Linked DNA regions of Arabidopsis thaliana. The protein of the gene in region 1 purifies or fractionates together with the protein of each later gene. This does not show direct contact. Each region holds a gene or a part of one and is shown on either strand. Other genes may lie near its edges.

What was found.
Region 2: the proteins of CDKC2 (region 1) and FKBP53 fractionate together in Arabidopsis thaliana (co-fractionation; one large-scale study listed by BioGRID). This does not show direct contact.
Region 3: the proteins of CDKC2 (region 1) and SSI2 purify together in Arabidopsis thaliana (affinity purification with mass spectrometry, with the first as the bait; one large-scale study listed by BioGRID). This does not show direct contact.
Region 4: the proteins of CDKC2 (region 1) and AT2G42520 fractionate together in Arabidopsis thaliana (co-fractionation; one large-scale study listed by BioGRID). This does not show direct contact.

The regions. Positions count from the first base shown.
Region 1 is NC_003076.8:25,952,847-25,960,056, forward strand, and holds CDKC2 (cyclin dependent kinase group C2), read left to right. Parts: upstream 1-2,527; 5' UTR 2,528-2,650; coding exon 2,651-2,763; intron 2,764-3,159; coding exon 3,160-3,241; exon of another isoform or gene 3,242-3,303; coding exon of another isoform or gene 3,304-3,339; coding exon 3,340-3,430; intron 3,431-3,535; coding exon 3,536-3,565; intron 3,566-3,678; coding exon 3,679-3,788; intron 3,789-3,879; coding exon 3,880-3,952; intron 3,953-4,034; coding exon 4,035-4,155; intron 4,156-4,262; coding exon 4,263-4,380; intron 4,381-4,478; coding exon 4,479-4,618; intron 4,619-4,711; coding exon 4,712-4,769; intron 4,770-4,852; coding exon 4,853-4,923; intron 4,924-5,046; coding exon 5,047-5,581; 3' UTR 5,582-5,959; coding exon of another isoform or gene 5,960-6,037; 3' UTR 6,038-6,045; intron 6,046-6,120; downstream 6,121-7,210. Other genes in the region: ATH13 (ABC2 homolog 13), read left to right, coding at 1-69, 214-273, 364-480; AT5G64950 (Mitochondrial transcription termination factor family protein), read left to right, coding at 1,041-2,216; AT5G64970 (Mitochondrial substrate carrier family protein), read right to left, coding at 5,960-6,037, 6,127-6,594, 6,682-6,985, 7,161-7,210.
Region 2 is NC_003075.7:12,958,211-12,965,325, reverse strand, and holds FKBP53 (FK506 BINDING PROTEIN 53), read left to right. Parts: upstream 1-2,554; 5' UTR 2,555-2,693; coding exon 2,694-2,706; intron 2,707-2,790; coding exon 2,791-2,864; intron 2,865-2,987; coding exon 2,988-3,235; intron 3,236-3,342; coding exon 3,343-3,485; intron 3,486-3,755; coding exon 3,756-4,059; intron 4,060-4,154; coding exon 4,155-4,322; intron 4,323-4,523; coding exon 4,524-4,746; intron 4,747-5,118; coding exon 5,119-5,206; intron 5,207-5,312; coding exon 5,313-5,354; intron 5,355-5,431; coding exon of another isoform or gene 5,432-5,447; coding exon 5,448-5,496; intron 5,497-5,587; coding exon 5,588-5,669; 3' UTR 5,670-5,977; downstream 5,978-7,115. Other genes in the region: SHB1 (EXS (ERD1/XPR1/SYG1) family protein), read left to right, coding at 22-151, 242-362, 447-705, 797-901, 981-1,025, 1,106-1,537, 1,628-1,764, 1,842-1,944; AT4G25330 (SAWADEE protein), read right to left, coding at 6,643-6,719, 6,801-7,017, 7,097-7,115. UniProt on the Arabidopsis thaliana protein: PPIases accelerate the folding of proteins. It catalyzes the cis-trans isomerization of proline imidic peptide bonds in oligopeptides. Histone chaperone possibly involved in H3/H4 deposition to the nucleosome.
Region 3 is NC_003071.7:18,116,946-18,123,771, reverse strand, and holds SSI2 (Plant stearoyl-acyl-carrier-protein desaturase family protein), read right to left. Parts: upstream 3,900-6,826; 5' UTR 3,666-3,899; coding exon 3,526-3,665; coding exon of another isoform or gene 3,522-3,525; intron 2,419-3,521; coding exon 1,914-2,418; intron 1,838-1,913; coding exon 1,277-1,837; 3' UTR 883-1,276; downstream 1-882. Other genes in the region: AT2G43720 (FAM136A-like protein (DUF842)), read right to left, coding at 1-85, 357-479; AT2G43700 (Concanavalin A-like lectin protein kinase family protein), read right to left, coding at 5,273-6,826.
Region 4 is NC_003071.7:17,702,480-17,710,502, forward strand, and holds AT2G42520 (P-loop containing nucleoside triphosphate hydrolases superfamily protein), read left to right. Parts: upstream 1-2,261; 5' UTR 2,262-2,384; exon of another isoform or gene 2,385-2,555; intron 2,556-2,718; exon of another isoform or gene 2,719-2,787; 5' UTR 2,788-2,902; coding exon 2,903-3,658; intron 3,659-3,744; coding exon 3,745-3,828; intron 3,829-4,150; coding exon 4,151-4,393; intron 4,394-5,065; coding exon 5,066-5,233; intron 5,234-5,377; coding exon 5,378-5,491; intron 5,492-5,728; coding exon 5,729-6,265; 3' UTR 6,266-6,581; downstream 6,582-8,023. Other genes in the region: AT2G42510 (survival motor neuron interacting protein), read left to right, coding at 1-464, 832-861, 1,248-1,389, 1,469-1,684, 1,824-2,139; COR15B (cold regulated 15b), read right to left, coding at 6,712-6,940, 7,198-7,394.

The DNA.
Region 1 (7,210 bases):
AGGGTCCGAGCGCTAGAGTCTGAGAGGGCATTTCAACGCGTTGCAGCTGTTCAAAAAACAGTAGGAAGTGTAAGTAGAGCTTTCCATTCTCATGTCTTTTTTACATCAAAATCTCTTCAAGTCGTTCTTTGAAAGCATTTCATGTTTTCTGTTTTATGTGTTAAAGTTGGTTTCTTTTCCTCTTTTTGTTAAACCCATTGTGTTTCTCTACAGGCTGTTGCTGCAGGAAGTTTAGTCAATCTCGCAACAATTTTGTATCTGAATTCTATAAAAGTAAGTTGGTACTCTTGTTCTTTTTTTTTCACCTATAAACCTCTTTGTCTGCTCAAATTCACCAACGTTCTTGTTTCTTTGTGTTCTCAGACACCTGCAACTATAGCATATACAGTATGTGCTTTCTTCAGCCTCCAAGTTCTAATCGGAATCATAAAGGTTAAGAAGTTCGATCAACGGGAAAAACTAATCACTGGAACAGCTTAAGAACTTGCTTGGTATGTCATGATTTATCACCTCTTGATGTTTACAAGTTACATTATCAGACTCAAATTCTCACACTCATTTTTTGGCTTAATTTGTACAGAAGAAATGTATTAAAGCTTCTTCAATCTCCATAAACCCTTTTGTGCATTTCACAGGAGTGTTAACAATTTCACTGGTCTGCAAATAAAATTATCTTATGGAAGCTTGAGAGGCAAGAGATGGTCAACTAGTCAAACCACCACCACTCTCTCATCTCTGTCTTCTTAAAGTTCGATAATAATTTTTGGAGAGGAGACTCTGGTTGTTCATCAACAGAGTGGTCATGAGCCACATGTATTGCTTGTGTATAGAGAGATTTAGAAATTAGGAACTTTTTCGTATAAATATACTCATTGTACTCAGCTACTCACTAGACTCATCTCTGTTTTAGTAATATTTTGAATACTGTATCTCAAATAAATTAATCTTATCAAATAGAAACCATAGTTGAAAAGTCATGAATGATTCTTAACTGTACAAAATAATAAGCTTTGGTAAAACCCTAAACTTTCGTTTCCAAGATGCAATTTCTAGCTTCTCTCGTTTCCAATTCCAGAAAGTTTGGTCGGAGATGGGATCGAGCTCTCTCGTTGCATCATTTCTCTTCGAATGCGACACCAGCTTCGATATCAAATCCAGCGTTCGTCGAGTTTCTCAGGGACAATGGGTTCCAGAAACCTCTAGCAATTGCCATCGCAATGCGTTACCCTAACCTCAAATCCCTAGAACAACCTCGGTCAGTGATTCAAATGCTTAAAAGTTACAGTTTTTCCGATACCCAGATCCAGAAATCGATCCGGGTCCATCCTCGAATGATGTTCTACAACGTGGAGAAAATTCTAGAACCCAAACTTCGATTCTTTAAAGATATTGGATTTACTGGCTCTGGTCTTGGTAAGTTCGTCTCTCAAAACTCATCAGTCGTTGGTGTAAGTCTAGTGAAGAAATTGATTCCTACCGTTGAGATTCTGAAATCGATTGTTGCCCCAAAACATGAAGACCTTCCTGTCATTCTTAGTAGATGTGGTTGGCTTCTTCTCAGTAGAGACCCTAACTTGTTTCTCTTACCAAACATCTCATACCTTGAAACCTGTGGAATTGTTGGGTCTCAGCTTGCTTCTTTACTTAGAAGACAGCCAAGAATCTTCAATCTCTCTGAGGAAAAACTCAGAGGATATGTCTCTCGTGCTTTGGATCTTGGTTTTACTTTGAACTCGAGGATGCTTGTGCACGCTGTTATCTCGTTAAGTTCTTTGAGCGAGAAAACGTTTGATCGAAAGGTTAAGTTGTTTATGGCTAATGGATTCTCTGAAGATGAGATAACAGATATTATACGAAGATCTCCAGGTTTGATCCGGTGCTCAGAAGATAAGCTTACACTGGGGTTTGAGTTTTACTTGAAGAGAATGGGGTTAGAGAGGGAAGCTTTGGCGAAACGTCCTTGTGTGTTGTCGTATAATCTTGAGAAGAGGGTGATTCCTAGGCTTAAAGTTTTGCAGATCTTGAGGGAAAAAGGGTTGTTGTTAAAAGAGGAGAAGAAGAAGAAGAACATGGTTGGCATTGTTGAGATGACTGAGGAAGCTTTTCTAGAGAAATATGTTGTGAGATTTGGAGATGAGATTGCTGAGGAACTGCTGGTTGCTTACAAGTGCGTGTGTTTAGTCGATGAAACGCTACTTGATCGTATCAAGATCTAATTGTAGATTTCACAAGTCCAAACTTGAAATTTTGTCATTGTATCCAAACTTCGCTCATCCGTAACTGTGTTGAACATTATAATTTGGAAGTAACTCTTAAATCACCCTTTATTACGAGCTTGAAGCTTCTCATATAATAATGGGATTCATATGAAGCGATTCTTTTTCTATTTCAGCACTTGAGCAAAAACTCAAGATTGTCAAAGCGTCTTAAAAATTTGACTCATGAATTTAACCGGTTTGATTTTGGTTCGTTGTAATAACCGGTTTAAACCAGAGATTGATTCCGGATAAAAAAGCTTAGGTTTTTCCGCGAAGCCGACACTGTAAGGTAGGGCTAAAACCTTAGAATAGCCGGAGAGAAGAAGGCGAGAAGAGGAGCGACAAGGGCGAAGCTGCAGAATTCTTCGGTAATTTTCAGATTCGGTTGAATAATGGCGGCTGCGGCTTTTGGGCAGTTAAATCTAGAGGAGCCTCCACCGATTTGGGGATCTCGTAGTGTCGATTGCTTCGAGAAGCTTGAACAGATTGGTGAAGGAACTTACGGGTATTCTTCTCCATTCTTTTTTTTTCTGGGTTTTGTTCCTTGATTCCAATTTATTTGGTTTTGTCAGAGTACTCGTGCTCAAGACTGAAATTTCTCAAATTTGAACGATTTCGCTAGGGCCACTTGATATATAAGTTTTTTTGAAACAATTTTGATTGTGAAACGTTTATATATAGTTATTGATCCATATATTGTTGATTTGAGGAATTTTAACTTTGCCTCTTATCTCAATAAATTCGATTTTGTTGATTGAATTTGGGAATTCTCAGATTCTTGGTATGGTAGATATATATATATATATATATATATATATATATATATATATGTTGCAATAAACTTCTGAAGCTGTCTCTTTTGATGGTGTTTAGATTCATATATTAAAATTTGGTTTTGCAGCCAAGTGTACATGGCTAAAGAAATTAAAACTGGTGAAATCGTGGCTCTGAAAAAGATCCGTATGGACAATGAAAGAGAAGGGGTAAGCTACATTTGAACTACCAGTACTAGCTTTGACAAGTTGCAAATTTTTGTGAGTTTCGTATGACTTATATTTCCGTTTTCATTGTTTGCATGGAGTTTCCGATAACCGCTATCCGGGAGATCAAAATTCTGAAGAAGCTGCATCATGAAAATGTCATCCATTTGAAAGAGATTGTTACTTCTCCAGGTAATAAGGAACTCTTATCTTAGCTTGTAATTGCTTTAGAAATTTTGTCAAAAGGGGTGTTAAGTTTGATATGTAGAGTTTTGTGACTGTTTTTGTCTTTAAAAGGTCGAGATAGGGATGATCAAGGAAAGCCAGGTTAGTGAAACTTATTCAAGATCGAAATATTTTCTGTACAACTTAGATGCGACTATGAGAGATCTATTTAAACTGCTTACGGCCTAAAGCTTGTTGCTTTTCTTCAATTTTAGATAATAACAAATACAAGGGTGGAATCTACATGGTCTTTGAGTACATGGATCATGACTTGACTGGACTTGCTGATCGTCCTGGACTGAGATTTACGGTTCCTCAGATAAAGGTATTGCATGGCTAGACACCTTGTTGTAGTAGCCTTTGCAAAAACCCTTATTGTTCCGACTTTGTCTGACATTTGAACATATGTAAAAAAGTGTTACATGAAGCAACTGCTGACTGGGCTTCACTATTGTCATGTGAATCAAGTGCTTCACCGTGATATAAAAGGTGAATATATCCCAAAATACATTGTTGACCATTTTGTTCTCTTGTCTTTATTTGCTAGTTAACCTATAATATATTGGTGCAGGTTCGAATCTACTTATTGACAATGAGGGAAATTTAAAGCTAGCGGATTTTGGGCTTGCTCGGTCATATTCTCATGATCATACTGGAAACCTCACAAATCGTGTCATCACTTTGTGGTATAGGTATGTATGCCTACAAACTTTGAAGTTATATACAAAAAAGTGACAAAGAATAAGTATTGCTTATACGTGCAGCTTTTTCTCTACTTATGCATTGTTTATTGCTGTAGGCCCCCTGAATTGTTACTTGGTGCAACTAAATATGGACCAGCGATTGACATGTGGTCAGTTGGATGCATATTTGCTGAACTTTTGAATGGAAAACCAATCTTGCCTGGGAAAACTGAGGTCAGGATTTCATCTTATGATTATCGTGGTGTGTGTTATTACAGTGTTCTTTGATGATGTTTCCACTTAGCGTTTTAGTCATATTTTTTTCTTTCCAGAATGAACAATTGAATAAGATTTATGAGCTTTGTGGATCACCTGATGAAAGCAACTGGCCTGGAGTTTCCAAGATGCCTTGGTATAACCAAATGAAATCATCTCGGCCCTTAAAGAGACGCGTAAGGGAGATCTACAGACAGTAAGTATAAACCATTATGTAGTTGCGACTCTTTTATGCAACAGTTACTTTGATCCAGGAGATCTCATTTGGTCCTTTTCTCTTCTGCTATAGCTTTGATCGCCATGCCCTTGAACTACTTGAGAAAATGTTGGTACTTGACCCATCTCAGGTACCAAAGAATTTTTAATACAGAGAATTAAGAGCCTTGGTCTAGACATTTAAGTCCTTTCATTTTCCTGTCTGTTGGTACAGAGAATATGCGCAAAGGATGCTCTTGATGCTGAGTACTTTTGGACTGATCCGCTGCCATGTGATCCAAAGAGGTAATCAAATTCTCTTAACTTTCTTGTTATGAAAACCCATTTGGTTCATCATACATCACAAATGACGATCAAGAACAATTAGTGAGTGATTCAGCTTGTACTGAAACTGTGTTATGTCAACAGTCTACCGACATATGAATCATCACATGAGTTCCAGACAAAGAAAAAACGGCAACAGATGCGTCATAATGAGGAAGCAGCCAAAAAACAGAAACTGCAGCATCCACAGCAGCAACATTCTCGTTTACCTCCACAGCAACACGGTGTTGGCCAGTCTCATGCCGCTCCACTTTGGCCTGCTGGACCAAACCACCCTATGAACAACAACGCACCACCACCCCAAATACCTGCTGGTGGCCATTACTATGGAGGAAAGCCCCGTGGTGGTGCACCTGTTCCAAACCGGTACCCTCCTAGCGGAAACCAGACTGGTGGTTATAATAATCAGAGCCGTGGAGGTTACAGCAGCGGAGCATATCCTCCACAAGGTCGTGGTGCACCATATGGCGCCGGTCCTAGAGGACCTAGCGGTGGCTATGGTGTTGGACCACCCAACTACTCACAAGGTGGTGGTCAGTATGGTGGATCTGGTGGCTCTGGAAGAGGTCAGAACCCTATGGGTGGTGCTAGAAACCAACAATATGGATGGCAACCGTAAAGAGAACTCAAAGAGACTCGTATGGTGTGGTCTTGGCTTGATGTCTTTAAGGCAGTTGTGATTTTAGATATGAAGACTTATCTTCGCGAAAGAGAATCTATTTTCATTTGATTTCTTGTCTTAATGGCATTCTTCCAAACATTCTGTGATTGTTGTATGTTTAAATCAAGGTTTATATATCAGAACACAGGAAACCAAATTGGATTTTTACCCAAATCTTATTATTTCTTGCAAAAAAACGTTTCACAACCTCTTATCTGTTTTCGATGAAGTGTGGAAAAACTACACGAATCAGTGTAAACCCCAAAAAGAAAACGAAAAAACTCTCCTCTGAAGCAGCTCCAGCAGTAATTGTGTCATTTCTCATTGCTTATTGTCTTATGCGGATGATTCTACTTTCAGAACAACTTTCATGAACTCGTAAACAAAGTAACTGATTGCCGCGGAAGGCAAAACCTGCAATAGTGAGATAATTCACAAAGCTGTAAAACCTGCAATAAGCTGGTTCAAGAGATTAATTTATGACTAGTATTAAGGAATCAAACCTGCAATAAGCTGGGAATCAAGCCAGCATATAGAGCAGGAACACCTCCTTGTTCAATGATCTTCACACAAGTAGCCACTGCGCTTAACCTTTTAGCATGTGACTGCATTTGTAAACGCCTTCTCACAACTTCAAACGGATATGTTGCTGCTTCTGAGCAAGCCCCTGCGATTGCTCCATATAACAAAGTTCTCATGGGACCAAGCTCGAGTTGATCGAAAGCATTAAGTTCTTCACCTTCTTGCTTCATGTGTTCAAGCCGTTTCTTACCTTCCGGTGTATGAAGGTAAGCTGATTTTAAAATATCATAGACACCGTAGAACACAGCTCCCGATGGAGCCATACTAACAAGTGAAGGTACAAGACCTTTGTATAGGGAAAAGAAACCTTCAGTTTGAATCATGTGACGGAATGCACCAACTACACCACCTAATGCTTCTCCACCGGGTGCCACCATAACCGTTCTTATCTGCAATTCAAAACCAAAGTAATGCTAAAGAACCTCCAGAGAATGGTAAAAGAAGCTCAATGAAGTTTTTGTTGTGATTCCACTTACAGTATCAAGTGGTAGACAAAGCAAACTAGCTGTTACTCCGGCAGCTGCACCAGCAACAAACCTCTCGAAATTTGTCGTTTCTTCATTCCCGGACAATTTCAGAAGCTGACCTCTATATGTATCATATGCATAGAAGTTGATGGACTTAAAGGGAGCAGTTCTGAGAATATTAACCAAATTCCCTTTCCAAAATCCTCTAATCCCTTCATTTGTTGCAATCCTCTGAATGAGTTCAAGAAGATTCCCTTGCTCTCCGCGAACAATGTATTCTAGCTTCATCCGTTCAAGAGGTGCAATGCAAGTTCTGCTCAAACCAAAACCCAATGAGCCACCAAACTACAACAAACCAAATCAATACAAAATCTCAAATAAGCATATCAGTAAGTAACCCCAACACTTAAAGTCTACAACTTTATACTGACACTCAATCTCATTTGACCTCAAGAGTTTCGTAGAATAAGTAAAGAAGAAGGAGAGACCTTGAAACCATGGCTGCAAAAGCTCCAGCCCATAAATGCTTGGTTGTGTT
Region 2 (7,115 bases), on another chromosome or scaffold:
TGAAGCTTTAAACATGTGCAGGTTCATAAGTTGTTGCTAAAGGTTGAATCTATTTTCATTGAACATTTCTCCAATTCAAATCGGAGGGAAGGGATGAGCCATTTAAGACCAAAAATAAATAAAGAACGTCATCTTATAACGTTTTCCACCGGTATATATATCAACACTACAATAACCAATCTTTTGACATGTATTTTCAAGAGTAATTCATCATTTTGTTCTGTTTTTTGTTTTGTTTTAGGCTTCTTTTTCGGCTGTGGTATTTCTCTCATTGTAGCTCTGGGTTTGATCATCCATGCTCGTAATATCATGGGTACACCGGGACAAAGAACTTATATGGAAACAATGTTCCCTCTTTACAGGTCAGTAAAACGACCAAATATAAACCAAACACACTATCTCTGTCTCTGTGTAATATTCTTGAGATATATACATTTCATTTGCAGGTTTTTTGGGTTTGTAGTTTTGCACATGGACGTGTACGCTGCTAATATCTACTTCTGGAGGCGATACCGTGTGAATTACTCCTTCATCTTTGGATTCAAACAAGGCACTGAACTTGGTTATAGACATGTTCTACTTCTCAGCTTTGGTCTTGGTACACTTTCTTTATGTGCTGTCTTATTAAACCTTGACATGGAAATGGATGCTCAAACAAAAGATTACAGATTAGTCACCGAACTTATCCCCCTCTTTCTTCTCGTAGTAAGTTCCTTCTATCTCTCTCTATTTCTCAGTACATTTTACACAACTCAATCTTTGTTTTTAGTAAGACTCGTTTCTCTGCATATTGCAGTTAGTGATTATCATTGTTCTCTGCCCCTTTAACATTTTGTATCGGTCAAGCCGATTCTTCTTCCTCTCGGTTCTGTTCCGCTGCATTGCTGCACCATTTTACGCGGTACCAACAACATATCCTCCTCTCCATTCATCTGAAGCATAAACAGAAATGTTAAGAAGAATGTCTTCCATTTTTGCAGGTGCATCTTCCGGACTTTTTCTTGGGAGATCAACTAACAAGCCAGGTTCGAGAAAATCTATACTCGATAAGATAGCTTCATACTTATTTTGATCGATGATTTCTGATTTAAACAATCAATGCTAGGTTCAAGCACTGAGGAGTCTAGAGTTCTACATATGCTACTATGGTTTTGGAGATTTCAGATATAGACGACGAAACACCTGCACATCAAATATTGGATTCAGAACATTCTACTTCATCGTCGCCGTTATACCTTACTGGTTACGGTTTCTTCAGTGCATCCGAAGAATGGTGGAAGACAGAGATCTGAGTCATGGCTACAATGGCATCAAATACCTTTTGACCATCGTTGCTGCTTCTCTTAGAACAGCTTATACTCTAAACCGAGGAAGCAACTGGAATATCACAGCTTGGGTTTTCTCAGGAGTTGCAACGTTTTACGGAACTTACTGGGACATTGTTCTTGACTGGGGATTGCTTCAAAGAGGATGTAAGAATAGTTTCTTGAGAGACAAGCTTCTTGTTCCTCACAAAACCGTGTACTACGCTGCAATGGTGAGAGCAAACAGAAAACAGCAATAACCTCTGTTTTTGTTTTTTCTTTATACATATATGGTGAAGATTGTTGCTTCATGTACTTGGCAGGTCCTGAATGTTTTGTTGAGGTTAGTGTGGTTGCAAACAGTTTTGGATCTGAAATTCTCTTTCTTGCATAGAGAAACTATGGTCGCGCTTATGGCTTGCCTTGAGATCATACGCAGAGGTATCTGGAACTTCTTTAGGTAAGCTCCGAGACTGAGAAGATGGTGTTTTCATGCATGAATCTACACAAAACTAATGAAATGTAATTGTTGATTAGGCTGGAGAATGAGCATTTGAACAACGTTGGGAGATACAGGGCGTTCAAAACTGTCCCGTTACCGTTCAACTACGAAGAAGATGGAGATCATCATAACAATTAGCTTAACAAGAAAATACTTGGTTTCACAAAATTACCTAAACAACAACTAAACTTTTCACCGCTGTTCCGGTATACAACTGTAACGATCGAGCTTTGCCTCTCCGCTGTATTCTTCAGAGAGCCAACTCGAGGCTGGCTCACTCTCAGGGTCAGACCTAAGCGATGGTAGAATTATGGAGAAATCAAGTGGAAATCTCTTCGTTCCTTGGTAACAAGAGATACAAACACTTAACTAACTTGGTTACATACAACAAAAAGACATTACTTTGTACACTTACTTCAGATTTTGACAAGAAAGATAGAAACTCACGTCATTGTACAGTGTGTTTAGGTCTCAATATTGTATTGTTTTGTTGAAAGATAGGTCTCATATTGTTTTATTTAAAACAAAATTTCTGAATTTGCGTTTACATGAGAGAAAATTATAGATTTTTTTTTCAAATTAACTCTAGTAAAATAATGAACACAAATTAAATGTTATCAAATATGAAGAGTATCTTGACAATACCATTTACTTTACGATTTATGACAGACCAATATATGGGCTTCATTGGGGCTTCATTGGGGCTTCATTGAATTTCAAAGTCTGTTAAGGCCCAAACTGAGAGCGCGGTTGCACAAATTGTCGAAATTTCTCGAAACCGCTTTAATCTCGATATAAAGCTCGTCTGCTAAAAACCTTCGATTAGGGTTTTAGTCTGTAGAAACAAAGTTGCCGCTTCGATTCCAAGGAGTAACCTAGCTGAGAAAATGGGATTCTGGGGTTAGTTTTCTCTGCTCAGTGTTTTCTTTGATTTTCCCGGAGCATGATTCCTAGGTTCTGATTTTGTGTTGTTAACATATGCAGGACTTGAAGTGAAACCTGGGAAGCCTCAAGCTTATAATCCAAAAAATGAACAAGGAAAGATTCACGTGACCCAGGTACTATACTCTTGTTCCTTCGAGCTGATTTGGGATATGAATTGTATATTTGTGTAGTCTAGTTTTGGAATCTGAATATGTTTGATATATCTATTGATGTATGTATGTTTTGCCATCATTCAGGCAACTCTAGGTACGGGTTTGAGCAAAGAAAAGAGTGTGATTCAGTGTTCAATAGGAGACAAGGCTCCTATTGCTTTGTGTTCATTGTTGCCAAACAAAATCGAATGTTGCCCTCTGAATCTTGAGTTTGACGATGATGATGAGCCAGTGGAATTCACCGTGACTGGTGACAGAAGTATCCACTTGTCTGGATTCTTGGAGTATTATCAGGACGATGAAGATGATTATGAGCATGATGAAGATGATTCGTATCCTTTCATTGTTACTAGTTTACTTTAGCAAATAATGCTTTCTTGTTTTTCTATTATTCCATCTGTTTAGAAATCTTAATGTTTTCATTGCGACTATATTATAGAGATGGTATTGATGTTGGTGAGTCTGAGGAAGACGATTCGTGTGAATATGATAGTGAAGAGGATGAGCAATTGGATGAATTTGAAGACTTCCTTGATAGCAATCTTGAAAGGTATCGGAATGCTGCTGCCCCAAAGAGTGGAGGTACTTTTTCTTACAGAGATCCTTATCAGATTGCATCTTAGTACTTCCATTTTAGCTTAGTGTGATTGCTTGATTCGTCACTCTTGTCTTATAACTAGAAGGTTTCAAAAAGATATTGATAAAAGACTTTTCAAATGTATGTCCGTAAATTTAAGCTTTTGTACAAGTGTGTCTCCTTGGTGCTGATCCTGTTCTACATTTGTGTTAATAGTTTATATGATTGATCTTTCCTTGTTCTGTTAAAACTAATCTGAATGATATCTTTGCTAGTTATAATTGAGGAGATAGAAGATGAAGAGAAACCTGCCAAAGATAATAAGGCAAAACAAACCAAGAAGAAGAGTCAAGCTAGCGAAGGTGAGAATGCAAAGAAACAAATCGTTGCCATAGAGGGTGCCCATGTTCCAGTTTTGGAAAGCGAAGATGAAGACGAAGACGGTTTACCTATTCCTAAAGGAAAATCATCTGAAGTAGAGAATGCGTCAGGTGAGAAGATGGTTGTAGATAATGACGAACAAGGTAGTAACAAGAAACGGAAGGCCAAGGCTGCTGAGCAAGATGATGGACAAGAAAGGTACTACTCTCTTTGCTCTCTATTGACTCTGAGGACAGAGTTCACATATTTTATATATCGTGGGGATACGAAGTTGTTTCTAAAATCTGTTCCAGTGCAAACAAGAGTAAAAAGAAGAAAAATCAGAAAGAGAAGAAGAAAGGGGAAAATGTCTTAAATGAGGAAGCTGGACAAGTTCAGACGGGAAATGTTCTGAAGAAGCAGGATATTAGCCAAATTTCTTCAAACACAAAAGCTCAAGATGGAACTGCAAACAATGCCATGTGAGAACTCTTATTTCTTGATTTGAGAACTTTTTTGGTGATAACAGATTGTGTTTATGTCATTTGTGAAATATCAGTAAGTAAGTATTTGAATTATTACTCACATAGATCACAAAGTAAAAAACGCTTATGAGTATACAGCGGTTCTTTCAAACTTTTTCTCCTAACAAAAGTCTGTGCTTTTTTATGGTATTATTGCAGGAGTGAAAGCTCCAAGACCCCAGATAAATCTGCTGAGAAGAAAACTAAAAATAAGAAAAAGAAGAAACCAAGTGACGAAGCTGCAGAAATTTCTGGTACTGTTGAGAAGCAAACCCCAGCGGACTCCAAGTCTTCTCAAGTACGGACATACCCAAATGGGCTCATTGTTGAAGAGTTGAGCATGGGAAAACCCAACGGCAAGAGAGCTGATCCTGGAAAAACGGTATGCACACTTAAAGTCATAAATTGCACACATAATATCATATGGTTACTGCAATCTCATATAGATTATGCAACAAGGTGGTAGTGTGATAAGAATGTGGGTGTTGAAAGAATTGACACTAGATAGAAAGTGAGCAAAGTAATACCTTGTTAGACTTAGACCTAAGAGCACCAAAGAATATACATTAAATAGGAAGTGAACAAACTAATGGCTTGTAAAACCTACAAACACTCAAACCCTTAAGTTGTGGTTAACTCTGGCTAATTGTCTTTGTGAACTTGGTTTGAATCCAAAATCCTATTAGAGTGCATCAATGTATTTGTGTGTTTTCCCAAATCTTTTTGGAGCTCATTCTATTGTCTCTGAGTGCAGGTTTCTGTGCGCTATATTGGAAAACTTCAGAAGAATGGGAAGATTTTCGATTCCAACATTGGAAAATCACCATTTAAGTTTCGTCTAGGTTGGTATTATAACTAGATTCAAAGATAATAGCTTGGGAAATTGGTTGAGAATTACAGTGTATTGCTGGTGTAAGTGATACTTTATGTTCTTATTGTAACGTGTAGGTATTGGATCAGTCATTAAGGGATGGGATGTTGGAGTTAATGGTATATATCTTAATTTCTTACTGTTTTTTTACTTATAACTTTGTTCAAAAAGTGAATCGTGTTGTATTCATCTCAAGTTTTTGAATTCCACAGGCATGCGCGTTGGTGACAAAAGGAAGCTTACAATTCCTCCATCAATGGGGTAAGTAAACTCATTTTGATTTATGTTATTTTGAATTAGCAATGTTTTGTTAAACCTTTTTAATGGGATGATAATATTGTTTGGCTCCCAGGTATGGTGTGAAGGGTGCTGGTGGCCAGATTCCTCCTAATTCTTGGCTGACTTTTGATGTCGAACTGATTAATGTTCAATAAAACTGCCCTGAATTCATAGAATCTCTGATGAGGGGTTTCTGAATGGTGTTGTAGCTGCAAAAGATTGTTTCTTTCCTTTTTAACACTTGAATCTTTTTGAAAAATGGATTTGTGTTTCAAGTGATAAGACCATAGCATTTGTTTCCCAGATTTCCTCTTCCAGATAGCTTTTGTTGGCCTATTTTACACTTGCTTAAAAACCAAAAATTGGAATCATACAAATGCTGTTTACATAGTAGATGGACTTGAACCCAAAAAGGGGCCAATCAACTTTAAGCCAGATTTTATAGCAACGACAACCCCGACTCGTGAATCCGTTCAATTGAATAATGTAAATAATACCCCTTTTTTTTGGTGTAAATAAAGTGATTATAGTTTCTTCTTCATTAGTTAGTATTCAATGATTCATTTGTGGAAAGTCTCTCTCACTAGTCTCTAATCAAGGTCTCTCTACTCTCAGGTACAGTTACGTCACCATCATCACCGTGACGAATTTGTCATTTTTGTACCGTCAGAAAGACTTTGACCTATTTCTTGTTCTGCAAGTTCTTTTTTACTGTTATTTCTGACCTTTTGACCCGTTTTTATTTTTTTATTTTTGTAACATTGATGATCCACCATACGTCACCATTATTCTCCGTCGCAATGGCAATCTCTACGGCGGGCCTCTGGTTTCTGATATCTTAATGTTTTTAGAATTGGAATTTCTCATTTTTGATGTTCGGCTCCTAAGTATTTGATGGACTATGATTGTGAACTTTAGAGTTTGCAAATGTAATTATCAATTATGCCTCTGTTTACAAAACCTTATGTGATGTTCATCAACACAATTAAATCAAGCATATATATTTCAGACCAAGGACTTCAACAACAAGAAAAAAAAAAACAAGGAGTGATAGGCATGAACTAAGAGACTTCCCCAAACTAGAGTATTCAGTTTTTTTTTTGCAACACACTAAGCAACATAACATAATCATCCATCAACGCTTAAGTTGTTTTGAATAGCAGAATTCACCTTCTCAAGAATCTTTTGCCACTCTGTCTCTTCCCCTGTTTCACACATATACACTAATCCGTTACATAGTAAGTTTTTAATCATAAGACAAAAGAAAGATAAGTGTAATAAATTACCTTGATTACATGTTTCTCCATGAAGCTTCCTTCTAGCTTCTTTCAAGAACGAAACCACTTTTGGATTTATTCGATTATCCTTTGCTCTGAGACAAATATCTCCAACTTTCGCAGTAGTCACTTGGTTAATCCAAGGACCTTGTTTCCAGAAAAGTTTGAAATCACATCCACAAATTTCGTTCCCTTCCTCGTCTCGTTCATGCTTCGTCCTCTCCACCTATATACACAAAAACCGTATTACTCAAACCGGAGTTGAGATTTCAAACACTAAACCGGGATTAATTTCTAGAACTCACCGTAACGACGATAGCGTCG
Region 3 (6,826 bases), on another chromosome or scaffold:
CACTGCAACTCTCTGCACATCGACTAATCTCAGCGTGTGTTCTTGTCCTATCAAAGCACTCGTATGCACATTTGAAATATGCCTTCTGCATCAACACAAAAGCACAAAAATAACTAACTCTTATATAAATCTCAAACTACGCAGTAAGCAAACTAAGTCCAAGTACATATCCAATGGCTTCTTCGAAGAGTATACACAGAGAACATAACTTTAGGAATTTAGCAACTAGGAGAAAGAAAACTGAGTCTAGGGAGCTGTGAAAAATCCACTTTGTTTCTTCAATTTTAGAAAGAAGACATCAAAATTTTCAAAAACTTTTTTTTTTGTTTGAGAGAGAGAGAGAGAAAGAGACGAACTTGAAGGGTGAAATTGATGTGGTCTTGTACTGGAGAAAGAAGAGACTGCGACGCAGAACTGACTTCGTTAACTTTCTTTCTAATCCTCTCTCTCACCATCTTCTCCTCCGCCGTTTGATCCATTTTTTCCCGGCGAGTTGATTTATTAGTTCAACTTTGCTCTCACAATGATTCACTCGAAAAAGTTTGGAATCTTTACTTGCAAAAAAATTAGACAAAAAAAGACTGAAAAAGAGAACATTTTTTTACTCCTTCCCCAAGTTCTCATAGGTAGCTTCAACCGCCTCCCATCTCTGAAACACTACCTTATTTGGGCCTAGCCTCTTTTAAATTGGGCCCATTTACGAACATTATCATCTCCTTTAGTCTGGCTCAAGCATGAAGTTACCTCAACAGCCGTCTCTGTTTCTTCTTTCAAAATCTATCAACTTCTCACTTTTTTTTTGTCAAGGGTTTCATTATTATTGACTTTACATTAATTTATAGAGATAAGCATTAAGCATGATCGTCAAACATTGACCAATTAGTTAAATGTAAACTGACATTGAAGATATTCAATTATTCATCATGATCATCCATCAAAATTGCTAAAAAGCCACATGAGTTGTTTGTCGAGAAACAGGGGAAAAAACAGAGAGACAAAACAAAACTAACCTGAACTTAAACAAAACTCCACAGAGAAGAGGAAGACTGAGTACAGACCATACTTAAACTGTTTTAACTACTACAAGTGTGCTAACGGACCAAAGACCAAACATATAGTGACTGGGAAAAACAAAGCTACTAAATCACTGCATCTCAACTTTGTAACTAGACCCACCAACATTATCAGAAAACCATAGTAATCTACACCAATTTTAAGAGCAGACAGATGAAATGAGGAACCGGGAGGATAGGTTTTTGTTTTTGTCTTTGTCCTTTTAGAGCTGCACTTCTCTGTCGTGTATCCAACTGAAAGGAATCTTGGGTCCTTTCTTGGCTCTTGCTTGAGCTCTCTCATCCAATCTCTTGATCCTTGGAGCCAACCCGCATAAATAGTCTTGTGCTTTGTTTCCTTCACCTGAAAGCCCGGTTAAGTCCTGGATTTTCCACCTACCAACCAGAAACTCAAGAATGTCTGCATAGTCTTTGGCGGTGTAAACACCGAGCCTCTGAGCCACGGAAGAGAAGTTGTCAAAGAGGTTGTCGTTGCGCCCATCATACATCAAGTGAGCAGGCATTGAGATTTTCTTTCTCATCATGTCTGCAAAAGCCATGACAGTACCATCAGGATCAATCTCAAAGAGCTTTTCAACTATCTTGGTGTATGCTGTTTCATGACGCTTCTCGTCTGCAGCTATTGTGCCACATATTTGGGCTAGTTTGATGTCCCCGTGCTCTTTGGCTTGGCGGGCTGTGTTTCCGTGAGAGATGAATGTCGCTCTTTCTTGGAATGACGTATAGATGAAGCCAAGGTAGGGGTTATTCTCTGTCCGCGGATCCTATGAAAGATAAGTTAAAGCGATTAGGTAGTTATATTAACCAAGAAATCATGATAATTGCCTGAAACTATCTCACCATTCCAGATCCAATCAAGTACTGAATGGTCTTTTCGATCTGCCTCATGTCAACACGACCAGACAAGTAAAGGTATTTATTCAGAAGATCGCCATGTCGGTTTTCTTCTGCAGTCCAAGCTCTGGTCCAAATAGCCCATGAAGTAGGACTAGCACCTGTTTCATCCCTAACTCCATCCAAAGTGTTCAACATAGTTTGATAGGTCGGAAGTGCTTCTTCTGTGATCATGTCCCCCACCAAAACAACAAAGTAATCATCAGGGAGCTCTCTAGCCCTCTCTCTTAACTCTCTTACCTGATCTTCAAACCCATCTGATGCAGGGTCAGGCAAGAAATCCTGGGGTTGCCAAGACTTCTCCACATCCTTGAGGTGAATCAGAAGGTTCTCCTCGGCCCAGTTTTCCATAGATTTGAAGATCTCGATCTTTTGAGGTGGCATGGAGTGCAAGACTTGAACATGCACTTCCCTGGGTGGCGTAAATGGTTTCTTCAAACTCTCAACCTCCCTGCATTAACCAGAAAATAAGTATCATTAGCATTTAATTATGCTCCATTGAAATTACCAGTCAAGGTCTCATCTCTGATACACAACTGAAACAAGAACACAGTTTATTGTATTTAGATAAGCATTCATGTCTACATTTCCAAATCAACTAATTCTATGTTTGAAGCGAAACAATTTCACAATTCATGACTAGCAAACACTTAGAGATGGTTAACCGTAAGACAATATTTTATATTTGCATTCATGGATTGGTCTTGCAGTTCAATATGAAGCAAAAAAGAAAGATTGTGAAAGAAACAAATGTAGTGACTACTGATCAGACAAAGACAAGATAAAGAGCCAAATGTCTTCAAAACAGAGAAAGAATGAATAATAAATTACAGAAAAGTGTGAAAATTTTGGACGCAAACTAAAGAGAGAAGCCACGAAGTACGCATGCATAGAGAAAGGCCACGAAGCGTGATATCCAACGTAATGTCTTTGAAGAAAGATAAACAGACGTAAACTGATACGTTCAAGAATCTCTTGTCAATACAAAAGAGAAAACTCATCAAATGAGTAAGAAACAAGTGGATAAACATTTCACCATTAAAAATTACTAAACCAGAGAAAACAAAACAAAACTTTCTCTTTGACTAAGAAGCTTTCCTCAATGTCTGTTAAGTCTTAACCAATCTAAAGATCATTATACCATAAAGAAGATAACTAGTGTTAATCTTAACTAACAACCAATCAACGAGCAATCTACATAATCTGATGCAGAATAAATATGGTAAAGGCAACGATTTGATAGATGGGGCAATCTCAGAGAAACGTGAGAATAATAGGGAACAATCAACAAACATCAGATTCAATGAAAAAGAGCATTAATGAATCACCTGAGAACAGAGGATGGCCCATTCTTATAAACCCAGATTAAAAGAACGTACTTTTATTGAAATCACACTCGAGATTAAGCAAATGTAAGCAAATAACACTGAACAAAATCGAGAAAACGTAGATCCAATATCGATAAGAACAAGCAAAACCCAGAACACAGTAAACAAAGATGAAACAGAGAGAATCGAAAGTAGATAAGAGAGACGATGATGGAGAGAAAGAGACTGACTTGGGGCCGGAGCTGAGAGCCGGAGAAGAAGAAGCGAGGCAGAGGAACTTGGGAGATCTGAAAGAAGGAGTTGGCGGACGAGTCGAGGAAGGGAATTTGTAAGGCTGAGATGCCACCAAAGGGTTAAACTTTAGAGCCATTTCTGGATATGATGAATGAATCCTTCTTTTCTACAGAGCTAGAGCTCTCCCTCAATCTCTATCTCTCGGTCTGAGTTTGGTTCTTCTGGCTTTTTCTCTCAGGTTTAGTTTCGTCCACAGAAAGAGAATGCTTATGCACAGCGTTGAGCGTAGCAAGCAATAAGAGAGACGAAAATAAATAATTCTTTTTTTTGTTAAAAAAATTATTCTAATAAGGAAAATGACGTCATATTGTCATTTGTGTGTGAAAAACAAGGTGACAAATTATAAAAATAAATAAATTGGGTATCTGTTCTAAAATACCCTTGAGATGCTTCAATTTTGACACTATTGTTCTTACATATGTCGGTAAAATATTTGTATCAAATAATTATTAGTCAACAATAATGATCAATGATACATCAAAACATCGAGTAGCTAAGTAGCAGTATACTAAATATTAATATAGTTGAGAAAAAGTTGCAAGAAAAAAAAGGGATACATCTTGAAAAGAATTGTTGATTAAAAATTCTTTTATTGAGTTGAATAGTAAAGTTGAAAAAATTGATTACTTTTGAGCACCTATGTCAAAGATGATTATGATTCATGCTTAGTCTCTTTCACTCATGACTTGTGCTAATTGTTAGATGACTCTCCTATATGTGTGATAATTTGGTATTAGATCTATGAAAATTGATGAGCAATGAGAAGGGGTAAAAAGGTCAAAACAAAATATAAAGTGTTTATATTAATTTATGTGAGTTTTGTAATAATCGACGTACTCGGGCGTGAGAATCCACGTAAAAGCCAAATAAGTTTGAAGCATGAAAGAGACAGAGAGGGGACAAGTGGCATAGGATCTCCACGTGGATGTCCCACTTGGCATATGAAAACTCTATAAACCGTACATTGGGTTTAATGGTTTTTTGCATTTTAGCATCATTCGATACTTTTCTGCCAAGTTTAGCTAGCTCAACGTTTTGAGTAATTTGATAGCACAACGTTTTCGGTTTTTCATTGAGACCATGACAACAAATTTAAACTTATTCTTTGTTTTCGTTCCATCACATTTAAGTGTAAACATTAATGCTTGTTTAACATCTCTTTCGGTGATTAACATTAATCAATGGAGTATATACTTCGATTAACATCTCTTTCAGTCATAAATCATAAGTGTGTGTAAACATCCCCATTGGTGTTCACCATACGTTTGTGTAAACATTAGATCTCTTAAAAATATCCAATTTATCCAATAAGTTAGCACACAGAAGAAATATGTAGACTTTTCATAGCTGAAAAACACAACAAGTACTACAACATAAAAGTAAACACAAACGCATACTTTTCAGGTCATGTGTAATTATTCCACCGCCGATATAAGTATAAACAGAAATCAAAACGATACATTCAATACAATCACCAAAATAAAGATATTTATCAAGCAAACACCGTCACATTTTTAGATTTCTCACCAAACCTCGACCATCACTTTTTACCGTCCGACGGAAGTCATCGCTTCCGTGATGGTCAAGTGTCCTTTCTGACTCCTTTGTCATCAATCGAAAACATAAAATATTTACAAACAAACATGTCATATATCATTTCACGACCGAACTCAGCATCACGTCTCAGCGTCCCCGGGAGGTAAAAGGTTCCGTTAACGTCAAGGTACCAATGGACCCTTGTGATGTCAAAACACCAAGTACACTCTCAGATGTCTCAGACCACATTCTGACCTTCTCTGCTTTGACTATATCGAGTAGATTATCTGGAAGCTGCAGATCACCACCCAAGATCTGGACCACCTTAGACATGTCTGGCCTAATTGCTACAGCCTGGTGCGAACACAACACTCCCAATTTCAAAACAAGCTCGAGCTGTTCTCTATTGTCTTCGTGACGGATTCCATCATTGACTGCCTCGAGAATATCTCCGTTTTCCCAGCACTTTAATGTCCATTCAGCTAGGACGACCTCGTCGGAGGCTGTTCTTCGCTCTATCAGCCTCCTACCGCAAGAGACTTCTAGCATAAACAGCCCGAAGGCATAGACGTCTGTCCCTGTGGTTGCTCTTCCGCTTCTTATGAGCTCCGGTGCAATGTACCAGAATGTCCCAGCAACTCTAGATGTCTGAGGATCATAACCCTGATCGTACAACTTAGCCAACCCAAAATCCCCGAGCCTTGCATTCATTTGGTGGTCAATCAGGACATTTGCCGGCTTGATGTCTCGATGAATTACAACTTGTACCCATTCATGATGCAAATAGCAGAGTGCAGAGGCTATGTCTTTGATGATCTTGAAACGTTGATTCCAAGTGAGTTGCTCTTGATTCGCTCTGTGGTAGAGGTACTTGTCAAGACTTCCATTGGGCATAAAGTCATAAACCAAGTAGAGTTCCTCCTTGTACCTACAATAACCCTGAAGCCTGACTAGGTTCTGGTGTCTAAGCCGACCAATTGTCGATATCTCAGCCAAGAATTCCTGCATTCCTTGTTTTGAATCATGTGAAATTCGTTTAACGGCAATCTCTGCATCAGAACCTGGAAGTGTACCCTTAAAGACCTGACCAAACCCTCCTTTGCCTAGAAGTTGTTTGAAACCTTTTGTGGCTTTAAAGAGTTCTTTGTAAGCAAACCTATGAGGCCCACATTGGATCTCCCATTCCTCTAGAACCTCTTTAACCTTTTTATGTCTCCTGTAGAAAAAGATACTTAAAGCTGATGCAACAAGCGCAACAAAGAGAACCAATGCCAAGCTGGTCACCAAAACAATCCGATAAACCAGAGATTTTTCCTTGGGATATGGAGGAAATGTTGGTATTCCCAAGTCCAGGTTTGGAACATCAACGCCGCCATGTACAAACCAACTCAACATGTAATGCATTGCTCTAACAGACCCCGTTGAGGCTGAGAAGCCCACATACATGTTCTCCAAAATATAGGGTGATAGATCTTGGTTCAATGAAAGAAGAGGCTTGTTCGGGTAATAAGCCTCCTCTGGTGATGATAAGGTGACATTAAGCTGTTTTTCCATCTGGCTATACAAAATCGTGACTCGGAGTAGACTTCCACTTATCAAAGAAAGATCTTTAAATTGACCTTCTTGATCATAATAACCAGCAGGAGCAAATTTGATAGACCTCATTCCGTTTATGTTGATACCAACATGGTTATCGTTAAT
Region 4 (8,023 bases), on another chromosome or scaffold:
TGATATCCATAAGATCGAAAAGAATGGAAATGGGTCTAAAGATCAGCGTGAGAAGGTGGAAAGAGTGAGAGTTAAGGATAATGCATTTGTTGGAAGATCTGTGAATATTGATTTGGTTGATGATACTGCGTTGTTTGATGTTGTTCCTTTCTACAAGAAAGGTAAAGATCATTCTAAGAGACCAGTAACTGCACACACTGATAAGGATGCACCAAGAAAGCATAAGAAAGTTGGAGTAGAGAAACCGATTGATAAGGGAAATGCTTCTAGCATTGTTGAAAGGAATGCGTCAACCAAAGTTTCTGACTTTCGTAACAGTGGAGAAATGAATGGGAAGCAGTTGCGGATAATGTACTCTAGGAACCAAATGGAGTCGATGAGGTATGCCCACATTGCGAATCAGAAGAAACTGTGGAGTGACTTGTATGCTAGACTCCTACCTGAGCTGGTGACTGAGTACGAAGGTTTGAAGAATCACAAGAGTATCCTCGGTAACCCTCCACTTACTTTACTTTTATCTTAGCTGCTGCATTTTGTGGTGTTGCCTGTTTTTAGTTGAACATGTTGAGGAAACTTTTAGGTCTAATAGAAATATGTCACTCCAAGTTAAGATTACTTAGCTCATGTATAACCTTAAGCTATATCTGCTGCATTTTTGTTTGTGTGTGTCACTCAAATGGCTTTTTCTTTGCTACGGTTTTATGGTGATTTCCTTCTCTAATGGTCATCTCAAAGTGACAAATCCAGTCGGGCTTAGTGTCTGCGACTCTTTCAGCAGTGGTTGTTCCTAAGTATCTTTTTGATAGGGGCCGTTTGTTTTCTTTTCCACAGGTCCCATATCGGCTGTACCAAGACGAACCCGTCTCTTTGTACATTGACCTGAAGAAATCTGTCGAAGCCTGTGTTTCATAAATCCTGTGTTCACCAATTTTTCCTTTTCTAAGAAACAATACATTCTTTCTGTATATAGATTCTTTAGTTCAGATTGTTTAAAGGGGTCTAGAGAGTTTGTTTGGTTCAAAGTGTGTATGGCCATGATTTTATCGGCTAAAAAGTTGTACATGTTCATACATCTTCAATAAAAATCAATACCTTTGAAAGCTAAATCTTTTTGATGGGCTTAGTTCTTTTCTTTGTTTTTATTGGTTTCTTCAATAGAAATCAAAACTGAGATTCCAAGAAAATGTGACTTTTTGTTTCTTCATGAGAACATTTAGGCAAGGAATTGATGACTTAACTACTTGAAGAAGACTATGTTGTAAAAGAGGAGAAAACTGAAGATAATGACGATTACAATAGCATTTTGAGGCCTGCGTTTGCTGTGGATGGAGAACCTGATTTCGATTCTGGACCACCAGAAGACGGGATTGAATATTTAAGACGAGTCAGGTATATATGTCACTCTGTTTCAATCTTTCTGTGTATCTGCATTTAGGCATATATGGTTAAGTTGTTTCCATCATTTAAGGTGGGAGGCTAAGCGAATTCCAAATGTAAAAGTAGCCAAGGTAAGTGGAAGCAAGTACAGAGAGAAAGAGCAAAGTGTTTACATGCCACAAATTCCCAGAGCACCTGCAACCGGTGAAGGAATGGGAGGACTCGTTGCTTTCCGACTTCTCACACATTCGTCTGGTATTCCTTTCTTCCAACTTGCATACTTATCAGTGTTTCTCTTAACGGACAAGTAATGACTTTAAGTTTTATGGGTTTTTCACAGGCTTTAAAACAAAATGGCAACGAGTCTTTAGGAGATGTACTCATGGAGATATTCAGTAAACGTCCCCACACAAACATTGATGAGTCATTTGGTGGGATGGTTTCAGAGATACAAGGAATGGACTCAGTGACACGGGTATCAAAGCTGAGAAAGCGGATATGTTTGGTGAAAAGGAGAGCGGTTTAGAGAGTAGCGACTGCAAATGGGTAGTAGCATTATGTGCATCAGTGGACACTCCTCCGGATGCTGATACTAGTGCTTGTCTCAGAGCTCTTGTGAGAAAGTGTGCGAGTCTTCGTGCGTTAGAGGTTGGAGTCTTGGAGATGAACAAGTTATCATTATGGCAAATATGCTCATCACCATCGCAGGCAGATATTTTGGCCAAATGGAATGAGAGGAGAAGTGTGTTTACAACAGTTTAAATTTTAAATTCATTAAAAACTAAAAGAAAGAGAGTTCAACATAAGTCGCCGACATACAATCCAGAACGAGAAAACTAAACCGACACGCAAGTTGAAAGATTGATGAAAACGGGACGCAATCTGGTTTGATAAGAGAAGAACAAAAAAGTCAAAATAATTAAAAAATATCTCTCGACCTCTCTTTTCTCTCTATTGATTCTATCGCTCTGCGCATTTGTATCTTGCTCTGTCTCCGATACCAAAAGGTAATTCAAAGGAATTTTAGGGTTTACCGTTGATTTCTTCGATTCGATTTTTTGGGACGTGTTTTGAGGATTCTTCTATCTCTGGGTTTACGCTGATTGATTTCGAGAGCTGTAGCTAGGGTTATCTGCTACTCTTTGTTGCAAATTTTGTTTTTGTTATTCCTTTTTGAGGTGAACATTGTTCTTCTCTTTGCGTGATTCTGTTGGCATTTGTCTTGTTATATTCTTCGTTTGATTATATGCTCTTCTCCGAAGACTGGACTTTTGTTATTCGGTCGATTCGATTATGATGTTTTTTGAGGTTTTGATAGGGCTTCGTTATTTAAAGATGTTCCTAGCTGCTTGCTATTGATATCCGTGGAGTGCTATTGTTCTAACTGAAACCCATCTTGTAACTTTCCAGGTTTTTGTATTCTATTGAAGATTATAAACTAAAGGGAGGAGCTTTGAGAATTTGATTGTTGATATCCAAGGATTTGCAAGCTAGTTTTTTTTTTACGACGTTATACTTTTCGATTATGAGTGCATCATGGGCTGATGTAGCTGACTCAGAGAACACGGGTTCTGGGTCTTCTAATCAGAATTCTCATCCTTCACGACCTGCTTATGTTCCTCCACATCTAAGGAACAGGCCAGCAGCTTCTGAGCCTGTTGCTCCATTGCCAGCTAATGATCGTGTAGGTTATGGTGGTCCACCTTCTGGCTCTCGATGGGCTCCTGGTGGTAGTGGTGTTGGTGTTGGAGGTGGTGGTGGTTATAGGGCTGATGCAGGTCGTCCTGGCTCTGGCTCTGGCTATGGTGGACGAGGAGGTGGTGGTTGGAACAACAGAAGCGGAGGGTGGGACCGTAGGGAACGTGAAGTAAACCCCTTTGAAAATGATGATTCCGAACCAGAACCAGCTTTTACTGAGCAGGATAATACGGTTATTAATTTTGATGCCTATGAAGATATTCCGATTGAGACCAGTGGGGATAATGTGCCTCCTCCTGTTAACACATTCGCAGAGATAGATCTCGGGGAGGCATTGAATCTAAATATCCGTAGATGCAAATATGTTAAGCCAACACCTGTTCAGCGTCATGCGATTCCGATATTGCTTGAAGGGAGGGATTTGATGGCCTGTGCTCAGACAGGGTCGGGGAAGACAGCTGCTTTTTGCTTTCCAATCATTAGTGGAATAATGAAAGATCAGCATGTACAGAGACCCCGTGGTTCACGAACAGTCTACCCTCTTGCAGTTATTCTCTCACCAACAAGAGAGTTGGCAAGTCAGGTTGGGGTTCTCTTCTGATGTCAAGATTCTTCGCTTTGGTAGAAGTTAGTTAGTTTCTCATATCTTGTTCTAATGATTTTTGGCAGATACATGATGAGGCTAAAAAGTTCTCTTACCAAACTGGTGTGAAGGTGGTTGTTGCATATGGAGGAACACCTATTAACCAGCAGGTATGTAATGAGCAAATAGTTTGTTTTTTTCTACTTTTTTGTTTGAACTTTTGATTTCTGAGTTTTGTTTCATGCGTCTGTCACTGCTGTCTGTTTTGTGTCGTCTCTTAGGCTGATTGTTTTGGGTTAAGCATGTTCGTTTCTAAGGCTGCTTAACTTAGTTAAAAGCATGTTTTGGTTTGGAGCCAGCATTTTTCTATATTAAGGATTTATCAATATATGACATGCAGAAGCATTGCTATATGTCGTAGCTGTATCTATGTGTTACTTAATCTGTTTTCAAAAGTCAACATGTTGATCTTGTGTCTTGTTGTTTGTGCAGCTCCGGGAACTTGAGAGGGGAGTCGATATTCTTGTGGCAACGCCTGGTCGATTAAATGATTTGCTCGAGAGAGCTAGAGTCTCAATGCAGATGATTAGATTTTTAGCTCTTGATGAGGCCGATAGAATGCTTGACATGGGTTTTGAACCACAAATTAGAAAGATTGTCGAACAAATGGACATGCCTCCACGTGGAGTTAGACAGACACTGTTGTTTAGTGCTACATTTCCAAGAGAAATTCAGGTTGGTTACTTGTCTGTAAATCACTTTTTCTTTATTCACCTTCTCATTGGTTGAAATATCATTTTTAGTGAACTTCTTCACTTTCTGACTACTACCCCTGCCTTGCTCCGAATTTTTATTTAAGTTTCTTTGCCATGTGTGTTGATTCTTGTGTTCCATACTTTTTCCTTGCAAATTATCTGCTTGTTACATTTTCTATGTTGGGGTTTTGTCGTAACAACCTTCTGTGTCCAGTTATATCCATTTGGTCCTCTGAAAAAAATGAGGGGGAAAAAGAAATGTCCAACTTAAACTGAAAGTGTATGTGAATAGTATATACAAAGCTATATGCATGGTTTCTGCAGAGGTTATATCTTTTCTGAGAGAGGTTTTCTTGTTGTAAAGCTGATTACATGACTTTTAGTCCTACTATTATTCTAGCTAGGCTATGCAGGGGTAAATTTATCCATTTTTATAAAACGATGGTCAATGCCAGTTAACTGACATGGTATTAATAGTTCTATGTGTCAGAAGATTATATGCCACTTCATTAATGGATGATGGTGAACCTATTATGGCAAGCTTTAGATTAATGAAGTTTCATACTTTTGTTTCCTGATTAAGCTGCATAATATAGAATGTTTCTGCATAATCACTTGCAAATTTTAAAAGATTGTATTGTTTCATGTGCAGAGACTCGCAGCTGACTTCCTAGCAAATTATATATTTTTGGCTGTGGGTAGAGTGGGTTCAAGTACCGATTTAATTGTCCAAAGGGTTGAGTTTGTCCTTGACTCTGACAAAAGAAGTCATCTCATGGACCTGCTTCACGCTCAGAGAGAGAATGGCATCCAAGGCAAGGTACAAACTGATACTCCTCTTTTGTTTGGAAGGAATCATCTATTGTTTAGTTCATGATTTATTACCAAAGTAGCTGGTCTTGCCTCAATATTTCAACATGCTCCTTCATACTTTCTGATGATTGTATTCTTTCCATATTTTCAGCAAGCCCTGACCTTAGTTTTTGTGGAGACAAAGAGAGGAGCTGACTCTTTGGAAAATTGGTTGTGCATCAATGGGTTTCCAGCAACCTCCATTCACGGTGACAGAACACAGCAGGTTTGTTATTCAACTTAAAGCTGAAAATGTTGTATGTTAATGTGGACATCAAAATCCAGTCGTACAAATTCATTATTGAGACCAAAGAGAAGATCTCGTGTTAAAATATAGTTCATTGAACTAAAGCTTAAACATAAGTCAAAATCTGAAGGAAAAACTATTGAAATGCACTCTTTGATCATCATTATCAATAAGTGTTAGGAACTAAGTTATTGTGTTGCTATATATGCATTGAAGGAAAGAGAAGTGGCATTGAAAGCCTTCAAGAGTGGGAGAACACCGATTTTGGTTGCAACTGATGTAGCAGCACGTGGCCTTGACATTCCCCACGTGGCTCATGTGGTCAACTTCGATCTGCCAAATGACATTGATGACTATGTCCACCGTATTGGACGAACAGGACGTGCTGGCAAATCAGGACTAGCAACTGCCTTCTTCAACGATGGCAACACCTCACTGGCCAGACCGCTCGCTGAGCTGATGCAAGAAGCTAACCAAGAAGTCCCTGAGTGGCTCACTCGGTATGCGTCACGGTCCTCTTTTGGTGGTGGTAAGAACCGGCGGTCTGGTGGTCGATTTGGTGGCCGTGACTTTAGAAGGGAAGGGTCTTTCGGTAGCGGTAGAGGAGGCTATGGCGGTGGAGGAGGAGGGTATGGCGGCGGAGGAGGCTATGGTGGTGGAGGAGGCTATGGCGGCGGAGGAGGCTATGGTGGTGGATATGGTGGTGCTTCAAGTGGTGGATATGGTGGAGAACCTCCAAGTGCTTGGGACTAAGCTTCCAATGTTCTTTTTGTTTTGGTTACAACTTTTGACAAAAAAAATATTTCTTCTACATTCACAAAGAGAGTATGTATTGCCCCTTACACCTATGAGATTTCACTCAGGAGATGGATATATAACAATTGTTGATGTTTTAGGTGTTTTGATCTTTTTAGGCTATTATTAGGGGTTGTCATAAAAACAGTCATCAGTTTCACAGTTTCTTTATAATTGAGGATCAAAATGAGAGAAGATTTTGACAGATTTTTCCCGAATCCAACTCATAAATACTACTATGTTACTTGTAGTCACTAAAATGTAGTTTATATTTAAATCATTTGATACGTATTTAAAATGTGCTAGTGAGTAATTAACAGCTCTTCATTTCAAATGGTGAAAAAGAAATTACAACAAACTGATCTTATTGTAAACTATTGAACATGACTACATGAGTGGTTGAATCAGGACTTTGTGGCATTCTTAGCCTCTTCTGCTTTACCCTCTACGAACTCAGCCGCCTTGTTTCCGGCTTCTTTTCCTTTCTCAGTCACATAATCCAAAGCTTTCTTAGCTTCCTCAGTCGCAGTTTCATTGGCTTCAATGGTTTTCTCAACAATGTAGTCTTTTGTTTTCTCGCCATCCGCCAAGGCCTCCTTCGTCTTATCCGTCACGAAATCAGAAGCTTTCTTTCTATATATATATATATATATGTTAAGATTCATTATTGACAAACGATTTTAAAAACATATATCTACACCATGGAAACTCAATCCTCAACAAGGCCATTATAGTTGATTATAGTATGTATAAAACTGTTATGATGGGATTAACCAAAATAAAATAACTATCATGGCGAGTACGTAATGTATATGAGAGTTTTTGCGAGTACACATGAAGATAGCCTTAGTCACGAGAAAATTTGTTAAAAGAAAAGAATATAGACTCACGTGGCTTCGTTGAGGTCATCGAGGATGTTGCCGTCACTTTTAACGGCGTATATCAACGACTTCTTGCGCTGAGCAACGACGACGAGCTCACTCTTCCGGCCAACTCTGACGGTACCAACACCACTCTGCTTTGCTCCTACGTTGTGGAAAGAAGAACCCATGCCACTGAGAACAGCTCCTGATAAAGACATCGCCATGAGGACTCTTAAAGATGTTTTTTGGGAGGAAAATAAATACAAGAAAGAGTTTTAAGATGGAGAAAGTGAGATGAGAAAAATCTAACCTCCAATAGTATCGTTTTATAGATCTCTCGACCAATGAGAATCCAAAACTACACGTGTGAGTGCTAGATATTTTTGCGCATTGCTATTATCTTTAACTATCGAATAAGAAGAGTTTTCGTTGGTTCGTACTAGTTACGTGTAACCATTTCTATGGTTACCAAAAGAAAAAAGAGGTCGGCCATCAAGTTGTGGTTATAACCGTTATACACATGTTAGCATTTTTGGCTACGATATTTACATGTTAGCATTTCTGTTTTATTTGCAACTTTCAACATTAATAACTAGACTCGATAGAGATATATATATAAAGGAAAAATGTATTAGTCGTTAAGCTGAAAATGTACAAGTCTTTGTGTATGTCTATTTAGTCATTTTTAGCAATTAGCTAGGTTAAAACAACTTTTAACATTTTTTCAATTAAGTACAAACTGTAGTTAAACTACTAATAGTATATAGATATATTTCTAAGAACCTAATACTCCAATGTTAAATAAACAAAAACAAAAACTCACACTTCAATGCCTAATTGTTATACTATAATT